Linked DNA regions of Rattus norvegicus. The protein of the gene in region 2 purifies or fractionates together with the protein of the main gene of each other region. This does not show direct contact. Links are inferred from orthologs where the notes say so. Each region holds a gene or a part of one and is shown on either strand. Other genes may lie near its edges.

Region 1 (6,131 bases), on a different chromosome or scaffold from region 2:
GTTAAAGTTTTTAAAGCAAAACTAAAAACAAAGCGACCCGCTAGGACACAGCACCCATCACACGCAGACCTAAGAGGTCTGTAAGTGTGTTACACATTCCTCCTGCCTCACAGACTACAACGGCATTTCAAGCCGTTAGGCCTGGAGCCAGGGTAATTGTAGCTAGGGGAAAAATCATAACATTACCCAGAATATTCTTAGTGGAAGGGGCACTCAGAACACATTTAAGAGCTTAAATGGGGGCCATTTGAGAAAAGACAGATGGACAGGAATGCTTGGGTTTCAAAAGCCAGGGCTTTCATTTCCCCAGAAGGCTTCTTGTTTCAGCTAACAGGGTTCAAGCAGCGCGGCTGGCAGCGGCCTCACCATAAGGATCTTATTTAAGCAAACGATCAAACACAGGATGGAAATGTGTGGAGAAAATCAGAGGACCTTGAAGTTTCAGATCCAGAAGGGGAGAGGGGAGTCAAGCTTTCTCCTTACCCTCTGCTCCCCTGTGAGGCTCCCATCCCGAACCCCTCTGATGTCTGGGGAGCAGGGGTGGGGCCTAAGGGTACTCTGGAAGGACTGAAGCCCTTGAGGGAGGGGTGCACAAGCTGGAGTTCATGCTGTCCTTCCCTGCACTCCTGCACAGCAGCTTTCTTACCTGGAGCTTCAGGTTTAAAAACAAACAAAGCAGAACCAGTGGCTACTGAGTCTCAATGGTATCTTTCCCAGGAAAGCCCGAATGGAGCCAATGCCTCGTGAGGGCTTTCACTGTGGCCTGTGGCAGGCTTGCTTATCACCTTCACAGAAGTTTCCTCAAGGGCTGCCCCTGTGCACCTGCTGGGGACCTGCCTGGTGCCAGCTCTCAGACCTGCCATGCCACACCTGCCCAGTGGCCATTCCACATTCAGAGTCAGGACTTGTCCTTCTGCAGACAGCGACCATACCTCCCAGCTGTCATTCTGCTTCCAAGCTCCACCCATCTGTCCTCAGTCCCAGGCTCAGGCCCTGCCATTCCCTAACTAACCTCCACTGGAAGTAGAAGGGGCCACCACCACCGCCAGTTTTCCTTCTCTTAGTTTCAAACAAAGGATACCCCATACTTGCAGTGTGTGAGAGCATCAGCCTGGCCTTCAAGGCCCCTATTCTACAGGCCCTGCTGTGCCTCTGACCTTTCTTTTGCTGTCATAGCCTTCTGGACACCAGTGAGCTTACCTCCACCGAGGGCTGGGGACCCAGGAAGTTCCTAACTTGTGCAGACTCCACAACTCATTCTAGAGCACAGTTGTGACCAAGCCCCCACTGGCTATCCACCCTGCCTCTCTCTCTTGCTCTGTTCTCTGTAGCAATATGTTTGCAATCTGTATGACTGATGCTCGTGCCTAACATTAGTAGCCGTTTGCATTCCTCACAAAACAGACTCCAGAAAAGAGCTGTGAGCAGTACCTGCAACACAGGTAACACTCACGATGCTTCTGTATGCTGTGCTGGCTGAATGACCACTACAGTTTCTATTCTGTAGAAATGACAGAGATGACAAGGCACTGCCAAAGTCTCATTGCTCCCAGTAGGAACAGTGCTGGTTGAGAGTCCATACTGCTCTTCCTGGTCCCCTTCCCTGTTTCTCCAAAAAGAACCCTGGTAGTGTGGTCTCTAATAAGCCCAAACCCAGTGTGCTCATCCCCAGGAAGTCCTGCGGTGTTCTGGGATTCTCACACTGGGAAACTTGAAACAAATGATCCCAAGTGTGTTGGCACAGGTCTTTAATCCCAGAACCCGGGAGACAGAGGCATGAGGACTTCTATGCATTTGAGGCCAGTCTGGTCTACAAAGGGAGTTCCAGGCCAGCAAGGGATGGATATATAGTGGGACCATCTCAAAATAGATAGTTAGTCTATTAAAAACATCTAACCCAGGACCATGTCCTACACCATGTCATTCTGGAGTTGGACCACAGATTCTTCTAGGCTCCTCTAAGGCCCCCAGCCAGCTTTGAACTGACTGTCTGCATCACAGCACAGCTACTCATCAGCTACTAGACGTGTTTTCCTGGGTAGGGACCAATGTCAACTGGCCACATGGTGATGGCAAAGGAAAAGAGAAGGGAAGGAAGGAAGGACGCACCACCCTATCGGGGCAGCTGACCCTGAAACCACACGGCTCTTCCATTAGACTGTACGGCACCAAGACCTTCTTCTCTCTGATGCTCAAGGAAGGTACCCACACATGCCCGTTAGTGGGTCAGATGGACAGCTGAGAGGAGGAGAAAGAAGGACAAACAGATGTGTGGATGGGCTACCCATGCTGTGAGGTGAGCGCTACAATGTGGGAGCTCACCTATAGGAGTCCCCGTCTCTGTTGTAGTCACACAAAAGGTAGTCCTTGCCCACCACCTTGTCTCTGGCAATTTTCAGGGGCTGGTCAACAGAAGACAGGAGATCTTCACACAGACTGGGGACCTGGCAGAAAGAGAGGACATGGAGAAATGTCATTAAAATAACCCCCAATTCAGGACCAGGTTAACATCTGGCTTGTAGTGCCCTGCCAAAATTCGGAATCTGTCTGTTACTCTCCACATATGCCCAACACCAACCATGTTTCTCTATAAAGAAACCTGGCCATGAGATGTTGTGGAGCGTGACTTCCAACGCAGTCTTTCCAAAGCCGGGTGTGGCTTTAATTACCTGACCACCAGGGTGGTCTGTGAGTATGAGGATGTGTGTGCTGGGTATTGGTCTCTGGTGGACAAAATACCAGCTCAGGCTCTGAGAAGAAGGCAAACACTTCAAATACACAGGAATGTGAAGAACTCAAAGAATAACGGGGCTCTGGAGAACTCCCACAGGCTCCCATGCCGGCCGGGTGGAGTTTCCAGCTCTTTCCAGGCCTCAGGCCAAGCATTACCAGGCCGTTCCTAGCCGGCTGTGTCTGTTACAGAGGTGGATGTCCACACGCTTTCCACACAGAGCACAGTCCACTCACCTGTAGAGCGGAGGGCAAACAGCTTGGTGGCCCAGCTTGGTGGGCTGGAACAAGTCATAAGGTGCTGTCAATCAATTCCTACCACAGCCTTTGGGGGAGCAGACCAGGGCTGCCTCCTCCCAACACAAACATTGGTCTCCAGGAGGGGATCCTGGCAGAGTGGATGCTTTTCTGTTCGAGTCATTTCTACACTGTCTCCGCGTCCTGACTTTCTCATCTCAGAGCCTCATCATTTACCAGAAGAGGGGCTGCTAACAGAGGGGGCCATGCAGCTCAGATCACGTGTCCCTCCCAAAGGCCAGCACTACTAGGACAACCAGGCTCTGACGCTGCATGCTACCATCCACATCACAGTCCAGTGTACAAAGTGCTACCTGGCACTGAAGCACCTCTTGCTCCATGGGATGGTCCAACTCTTACACATACATCGGTCCCCAAGGAGAAGCATACACCTCCAGCCCAAGCATGGTGTGCTTGTCTTCAGAACCTGGTCCACATGCACCTGTGCACTCACCCAACCAACAGGCAAGGTCATTTCCAAAGTTAGCTTTGGCGACACCCCTCTCTGTTACCTCTAAATGCCTGTGGGACGTGAAGCCAGGTATCACAAAGTATGCTCTTGGCCTAAACGCTCAGACTAGGGCATGAAGTGGGTAACCAAGGACTTCTAGATTACAGAGCTGAGACCGAGTCATTAAAGCTGCCCAAGACTCACATCAACAGTCAGCAGGGAATACAGAAATCCAATCCTGGGCTAGGTGACTCCCAAGCTCCTTCAGCCTGTCACTCTGGTCCCTAAGGACAGTGAGCAGCAATGGTACCAAGCTCCTCCCAGCCCCCACTGCAGCTCAGTTATAGCTAGGTCCTCCACCTGGGACACCCTAGCTGGGTCTGAGGCACTTGCTGTATTTTTTTGGCCCAGTGAAATGACTCTGGCAGCTGTGTGCTACCCTTCGTGCTGTAGCCTGCCACCAAGGATCCATTCGAGCCACTGGGCTGCTACTGGGGTCTTCATGCAGTTGTCAAGTCCTCTTTGTGTGGACTCTATTGGCTGTCTGCTAATACTGGGTAGCAGTTCCAGCCCTCTGTACCTCAGTGCACCTTGCTGCTTCTGATGGCAGATGCTGAGGGATGCTTGGGAAGACAGAGCTCCTTCGCCAGCCAAGCTGGCAAGACAATGGGAGCTGCCAGGAGAGGCTCCATTTCTAGCTGGCACGGTTATGTACACTGGTAATCCTAGAAGCTTAGGAGGCTGAGAGAAGACAAAGATTTGAGTCCATGAGTTCCACATCACTGTGACCAGGCCTGGTGGCACAGTTCTGTAAGCCTAAATACTTGGAAGGCTGAGGCAGGAGGATCCTAAGACCAAAGACTGGCTGGGTTGTAGAGTGAGTTTCAAGCATACTCGAATACTTAAGACCTTGAGTTAAGAGGAACTAGACATCTGGGAAGATGATTTAGTGGTAGAGTGCTTGCCTGCTGTGCATGAGGTCCTCAGTTCAATTCTCAGAGTCTCAAGTAAGCAGCAAAAGGAACAAATAACCTCACACCACACTGAAGCCCAAGCCCAGCCTTCCACGGCAACGACAGGAAGACAGAACCAGGCAAACCACGGAGACGAGGCACCCTGAAGGGCTGACCCTGGACTGTGCAAGCCCACAAGTCCCTAGCAACCACAGAAGAACACACACTCAACTGAGCCCCACCGTGGCAGCACACCGTGGAAAGCTACAGAGATCTTGCAGGACACAGGATGTGCCTGAGAGCACACAAGTACCTAGGATGGGTCACGGCTGGCTGGCTCTGACTGCTCAGGTCCCTGAAAGACACGTTCTGAATGTGGGCCATACTTTTAAGTTCTGTTTGCATCAGTTCCTCTTCTGATCAAAGACAATCTGGTCTGGAGTAAGGACACTATGCTTGTCACTGGAAACAAGTACAGACTATACAGTATGGCAGCTGCCCCAGACGCTTGTGCGTGAGTGCGTGTGTGCGTGTGTGCATGTGTGTGTGTGTGCATGTGTGTGTGTGTGTCTGTGTACCATGTGTCAGTCCTGCTCTGTGTGTGTGTGTGTACCATGTATCAGTCCTGCTGTTTGTGTGTGTGTGTGTGTGTATACACACCATGTGTCAGTCCTGCCCCCCATCCTGCCCACCCTCCACCTTCCCAACACTGGCCTACTAGCTGTCTCTTCAACATGCTAGTTTGTATAAAAACCCTCCCCACTGAGAGTTGGTGGTACAGAAACTGTAGGCTGCTGAGTTAAATGTGAATTTCAGATTCACAAGGAAGACCATTCCAGTCTGACCATGCCTCGAATATTAATTACACAGGACAGCTCTTTATTTGTTCAATCTAAAACTCCACCACGTTTCCGATGTCTCCTTCAGCCCCACCCCAGACTCCCATTTCTCCCCAGGAGTCCCATGGACGGATGGCACAAGGACTGTGACTGCTCCTGAGCTGGCTATCCTAACACCACCAGCAGGGCCTATTCTTCCCTGCCTGTGTCCATCTCCCGGGTCAACGCTGTGCCCAGGGAGTCATGAGGGGACCCCCTAGGCAAGCACCATGTCCTGTCGGCTGCAGAGGGCTCTCAATCTAAGCTTGGGTCCCAGGGGAGTAGGCATAGGGTCTTTGCCTGAGCGCATACCAGAGAAAAGAGGCTGCTCAGGTCTGAGAGCCAATCAATCACTCCTGCCCCTGGCTGTGTCACTCTTCAGGGTGTCAGAATCCTGAGTTTGCAGCAATAAATGAGCGGAATGACCAGGTCCAGCCACCCAAGTCTACTTTGTGCATTTGGCTGCTCTCCGCACTGCCACAGGACCTACCCGCCATCATTAGCTTCTGTATAGAACGTCCATCTAACACCAACGGTGCTGGCTAAATCAGGCTGCTGAGGCTTCAAGTTAATTTCCAGTGACTTGGAATAGTAACGCTATACCACTGCTGGGACAGGCCCTGCCTTCACTCTGGACAGAGAGCTCAGAGGGAAGCCACTAGCCAAGCGGCAGGAACTACTATTCTCACCTGGGTTTGGGTTCAGTCCAAGCACAGCAAAGAAAGCTTTAACAAGAGACAGGACAGTGGCACATACCTGTAGTCAAACTAACCCAGGGGCTGAGACAGAAGGATCACATGACTCAATGATTGAGTTCAGGAT
Region 2 (6,131 bases):
GCCTTTCCTTGACTAGACTGCCTACTGTCCTCCTCACCTTTACTGAGACAGGCACGGCAGTGGGCTAAATTCTTGTTCTTTCTGTTGTGCCTTTTCTTTCTGTAGTAAAGGAGTTAAGAATGTGAAGTCTTTTTTTTTTTTATTTTTTTATATGCATGGGTGTTTTGCCTGTATCCGTGTCTGTGAACCACTTGCCTGTGGAGACTAGAAGAGGGCATCAAATAGCCTGGAACTGGAGTTAACCATGTTTGTGAGCTGCTGTGTAGGTGCCAGAAATTGAACCCAGGTCCTCTGGAAGAGTAGCTAGTGCGCCTAAATCTGAGCCAGCTCTCATGGGAATAGGAAGTCTTTGGTCTGTTTTTGCCTTTAGTTCTCCACAAACACCTACCTTCCTAAAGAGCTTCTTCACCAACCCCAGGCCCTTGCCCCAGCAGAAAGCTAGGATGAGGGAATTCTTCAGGGTCAGAACCATGAACTTCCCAACAGACAAGAGCCCCCTCAAGTGGGGAATAGCCACCTAGCCCTCTGAAGCTTCTCACAGGCAGACTTTGTTCTTTCTGTCTTCATTAGCCTGGAAGATCCCTTGAGGCAGGACCTGAATTATTTCTTCTCTCTGTATTTTTTTTTTTTTTTATCTGAGATCAAGTCTCACTATATAGTCCAGGCTGGTGGCCTAGTACTCCCCATATAGACCACACTGGCCTTGAACTCAGAGAGTTGGCTTCTGTTGGCTTCTGTCTGTTGTAACTCTGTTGTAGCTTTTCATCTAATCATTTCCTACACAAGGTCAGCATGACCTGTCTCCTTTCCCCCTTGCTTTTTAAAAGAACAGCCCCGAGACACTCCTGTGTCAGGCCTACAGAGCCAGGCTGATGCCATTGGGTACTTCAGGAGCTGCTTGCCCTGAGGTAGGCTGGAGAAGGCTCGCTGAGGATGACTGGGAGGGGAACAGAAACAGTGGTCAGCTGGTCAATAAGAAGAGAGGAGCTGGAGAAACTGGGCTGAGCAAGACAAAACCTCCCCTGTGAACCCTGCCAAGGGGAGGGGTGCCTTGTTAAAACTTACTGGGGTGTAGCCAGACCCCTGGTGGGAGGAGGTCTAAGGGGTGGAGGCTGAGTTGGGTGGAGGAGAGTGGAGGCAAGGAGGACGCTGGCGTTTAGCCAGGCCTCCCATAGGATAGCTAGGTCTTGCTTTCCATCTTCTGCAGTGCCCTCCTGCCCAGTCCCTTCCTGGTTCCACCCATCCATGCAGACCTTAGACTAGCTTCCCTAGCTTCACTAGGCCCTGTGGTGCATTCCTAGAGTTTGAAGGTGACAGCAATCAAGGCCTATGTCCCAGCTGTGGCCCCTAGAGCTTCCAGCTGATGTAATGTTTTGCATGTCAGGCAGTGGAAGTGGCAGGTAGGGGAGATCTTAGGGATATGAGGTCCTTTTAAAACTACGGGGTGGGGGGTTGGACTCCTTGGAATCAGAAGAGGAACTTGGAGCTTAGAGGTGGGAACCGTGAGCAGCAGCTTTGTTCAGGAGACCTGAGAACTGAGGGCTTAGGAGGTGACCAGCCGTGCTGGCATTGCTGGTGTTGCTGGTAGAAGTGTTTGTGTATGGGCATAAAGGCTCCTATTCCATAGTTTTCCCCTTCCAGTCCTGGACCCTGTGATAGCCTGCCCGGGTTGCTGAGAGATTAGGTTCCTGGGCATCTCATAGCCTCTGGGAGCCTAGCACATCCCTATCTCTAGGGAGAGGCAATTGGGTCTATGACTAAATGAGAGAACTACCGTGTTCCTGTCAAAGAGCCCTGAAGTCCCTTCCCTCTTCCCCTGGTAGGGTAGCTCTAACTGTCCTGCATCCTCACTTCCTCATTCCTGCATCCAGGAAGGTCATTTGGAACCAGCCCACTTCCCCATTTCTCTCGTCATCCACAAGTTAGAGCGAAGATTAGAAGAGACATTCCACGTTCCTGGAGATCTGAGGCCAGCAGCTCTAGCTCGGCTGCTCTCCATCTAAACTGAGAACCGCCAGATCTGGAGAGAAGGTCCCTGAGACTCCAAGGAGGGCGGGCAGTAACAGGCAGTGACAGCAGTAACAGGAGTGACAGCTGCCAATTACCAAGCTCAAGGTATCCTAGGAACTGCTCACACGCCTTGTCCTCATTTAGTAACAAGCATGGATCAAGTCCTTGCCGGTGTGCCAGGCACAGTCTAGGCCGTGGGACAGCAGTTCACAACAAAACCCCCCACCCTCAGGGAGCCCTATATATACTTGATTGTAGTCAAAAGGCAGAGAAGCAAGATGGATCCCTATTCCTTACAGGAACTGTTAGCATCTCCATCACCCAGTGAGCAAACTGAGACATAGAAAGAGGTGATGTCATTTGCCTCCGGCTCCAAAGCCTATGGTCCCAGTGAAGCAGAATGTGTTCCAGGAGACAGAAAGGCCACAGCAAGAAGCGGGCTGGATTATTACTGCCATGACAGAAGAGCCAGGCCCTGCCCAGCTCCTGACAGATCACCACACTTACGTCTGCCTGGGCTTGTCCTTCCAAAGACATCTGTGGCCACAGGGTATCTCTGGGGAGAGGCGTGCCTCTTAACTGGGGCCCCTTTTTGGAGCTCTATGTAAATTATAACGTAGCTGAAATTAGTCAGTGTTGATTTCCTCCTCATGTCTTCTAGATTCTGATGCTGTCTTGATCCTTTCTCCACCACCCTCTTCCCTCTCAGTGCCCCAGTACCTGTAAGTTTGGCATGGTGGTTAGCAAATAGGGCATATTTAAATTTTCGTTTGTACACAGATGTCCTCAGCTCTCATTAGGTATTAGAGAAGAAGGTTAAGTGCTTAGTACTCAGGTGAATCTGACCCCATCTCATAGGCATGCAGACATGTATACCCTACACCCAGCCACCTGAGCAGGTCATGGATGGGGCATGAGATGTGAGTGACAGGCCCTGAGACTGCAATGCAGCCCCCTTGTACAGAATGGTTTGAACTCAATTCCTATACCAGCCTGTGATGGAAGAGACCGTTCTCCGAGCACTCAACAGAGGAAGTAGCCACTCCACAGCATGGGGATGAGATCTGAGGAGTCCCCACTTCAGGAGAGGGAGCTGGATTGGGTTTTCAGGGAAGTCTAGGGTCGGGGGCGGGAGGGTAGGGAATCCTGTTGTTGCCTTACAGCCTGCCTGGTTTCTCCTATCCTCACAGGCCTTGCTTAAACATTCTCTATTCCGGGAGGTCTTTCTTGGCCACCGAACCACAGACCAGGTTCCTAGTGTCCTCTTACACACCAGTGCCTGCTTGTGTCCTTTTCTTAATTTTTTTGATTGCACTTATGTGCATGGAGGGGTACAAGCATGTGTGTACATGTGCGTATAGGGAAATCAGAAGACAGGTTATGGGAGTTTGTTTTCTTTGTCCACCATGTTTGTCCATCGAACTCAGATCGTTAGGTTTGGTGGCAAGGACCATTTCTGGATGAGGTACACTTCTGTCCCTTCTTCATAGCTTTTGCAGTAGTTAATGTGTGCATTTCTGGGTATTTACCCATTTAGCTGCCCTGTCTTTCCCGATGTGTACTCTATGAGGGTAGGTTGCGTCGCTTTTGTTCTCCTGTGACATGTGACATCACTTGGGCTCAATTCATTTGTTAACCGGTTTAATAAACACCGGGAGGCACAGGAGTGGGAAGAAAATGGGTTCAGAGAGACCTGCTTTGAATTTTGGTTCTGTCTTTCTAGCAGCGTGACATCTTTTTTTTTTTTTCTCGAGTTTCAGTTTACTGTGACTTGTGGCTTTAATAGCGATTGTAAAAGTTAAGAGAAACCATGAGTGAAATACAGTACAGTGGCTCAGTGTAAGGGGGAGGTTGCTACTGTTACTGTTCTGTTTTTTAAATACCTGCTTTGAAGGTTCCTGGGGAAATGTCACGTAGGCTGCCGCACTAGATGCATTCCCCATATGGTCTGCGGACCGTTTGGCTTCATGGCGACAGCCCTCACGATACGTTCTGGTGCTGTCTTACAGAGTATAAAGGAGGGGACCGAGAAACCTCGTGGAGCACGGACTGCAGACAAGGCTGGCTGGATCAAGAAGAGCAGTGGGGGGCTTCTGAGTTTGTGGAAAGACCGCTACTTGCTTCTCTGCCAAGCCCAGCTGCTGGTCTACGAGAATGAGGTGAGGACTTGCTTGGCTCTGAGAGCAGCAGTCAAGTGAGGCAGGCGGGCCAGCAGGAGCCCCTAAGACTGGGGCTGGAAGGCTCGCTCACCGTTGTTGTTTGTTTATTTGGTTGCTTGTGTGTTTGTTTTAAACAGGGTCTAACTATGGGTAGCCTTGGCTAACCTGGAACTTGCTCTGCAGACTAGGCTGACTGGCTACAAAACAGAGACTCACCTGCCTCTGTTTCCTGAGTGCTAGAATTAAAGGCGTGCACTACCACACTGGCCCCCACTTCACTGGCATGCTGTGCCACCCTGGGCAAGTGTCTCATCTCCTCTGGTCTCTATGTGTAGTAGTGGGGATGATACTTCTAGGGGCAAAGTTAGGGTTCCTGGGTAAGGGTTCTGTGCCAGCCATGTATAGCATTTGAGTCTCCTCAACTACTTACCTGTGTACTGGAACTTCCTGTTTTGGGCCAAGGTTTCATAGATGAAGTATGTGAGCAAACTGAAAGTGTTCCAATCAGCATTGGCACTAAACATACCAACTAACCCTCACAGAGACCCACTTGCTTCTGTCTCCTGAGTGCCAAGACTGAAGGTGTACACCACCATGATGGGGCCTATGTTACATTTTAAAGAAAGGATTGGTAAGGGTTGGGGGCAGGGAGGTGGGGATGGTGGTAGTGACTTCACCTTCTCACAGAGAGTGGAGGGCTTGATCTAGAGGTAAGCCCAATACTCTTTCCACCAAGAGACAGCAGCGAGTAAACTTCAAATTTTACTTTTGGTTGAAAAATTTTAAATGTTAATTACATAATGGGAGTGGTAATGCTCACCTTTAATCCCAGTACTTGCAGAGGCAGGAGGATATCTGTGATCAGAGTTTTTTATCCGACTTTGGAATTGCCAGAGTGCCTTCAGCTTTTCCCTTTTAATAAACAAGTGTTATTAAACACTTGTTTGTGCAAGAGTTCGTCTGTGAGTGCTCGTATGTGCCAAGGCACGTGTGTGGAGGTTGGAAGACAGCCTTGGGTATCAGTCCTCACCCTCTCCTTGTTTGGGGCAGGCTGTCTCTCTGTGTACTCGAGGCTGGCTGGACCACGAGCCTCCTGGGGGCTTTCCCATCTCGCTTCCCATCTCACAGTAGAAATGCTGGGTTTACGTGACCCTGTATCCTGCTTTCTATGTGGGTTCTGGGGCTGTGGACTCAGCATGTCAGGCAGTGTAGCCTGTGCTTTTCCTCGTCAAGCCGTCACCCCAGCCCCAGTCAACACTTCTGCTGTCCCCATGCCTCCCACAATCCTCACACCTTCCCACTTAGATTCTCGCCCCCCCTCCCACTTTCAACAGACTTTGGACAACTAAGAACAGTAAAATTGCCAATTTTACACCTATAATCCCAACACTCAGAAGGCTAAGACAGGAGGATTGCTCTGAGTTGGAGCCCAATCTTGACTATAGTGTAAGACCTGGTCTCAAAAACAAAAAACAAAAAACAAAAACAAAAACAAAAAAAGCTAAAATTGTTAGTTTAGGAAGCATCAGAAATGCTGAAGACTTGGAGGGAGGGTGGCTTTTCCTCTTGGTACTGGGGTTCAGGCTGCCAGAGGGCCCACCCACTGAGAATGCGATGATATTGTCTGCCTTTGGCAGATGGAATCTGTGAATGGAAGGGGCTTGCATCTTGCCTATCGACCCCTCTCAGTCCCGTTAAGGCAGCTTGGCAAATTCCTGAGTGCCTTGGGCCCAGAAAGCCTATAAACCCCCCATCTAAGGGTTTCAAGGAGTTGCCTTTGAAAAGCATCTTGCTTCGGGGCTGGAGAGATGGCTCAGTGGTTAAGACAGTTTTTCCAGAGGTCCTGAGTTCAAATCCCAGCAACCACATGTTGGCTCACAATCATCTGTAATGAGATCTGATGCCCTCTTCTGGTGTGTCTGAAGATACTTATATATAATAAATAAATCTTTAAGAAAGAAA

What was found.
Region 1: the proteins of Plekho2 (region 2) and Capzb purify together in Homo sapiens (affinity purification with mass spectrometry; 3 studies listed by BioGRID and IntAct, counting the BioPlex papers as one, with this or other methods). This does not show direct contact. The link is inferred for Rattus norvegicus from reciprocal best matches to the Homo sapiens genes PLEKHO2 and CAPZB.

The regions. Positions count from the first base shown.
Region 1 is NC_086023.1:156,780,520-156,786,650, reverse strand, and holds part of Capzb (F-actin-capping protein subunit beta), read right to left. Parts: intron 2,445-6,131; coding exon 2,323-2,444; intron 1-2,322. UniProt on the Homo sapiens protein: F-actin-capping proteins bind in a Ca(2+)-independent manner to the fast growing ends of actin filaments (barbed end) thereby blocking the exchange of subunits at these ends.
Region 2 is NC_086026.1:74,992,310-74,998,440, reverse strand, and holds part of Plekho2 (pleckstrin homology domain-containing family O member 2), read left to right. Parts: intron 1-4,019; coding exon 4,020-4,169; intron 4,170-6,131.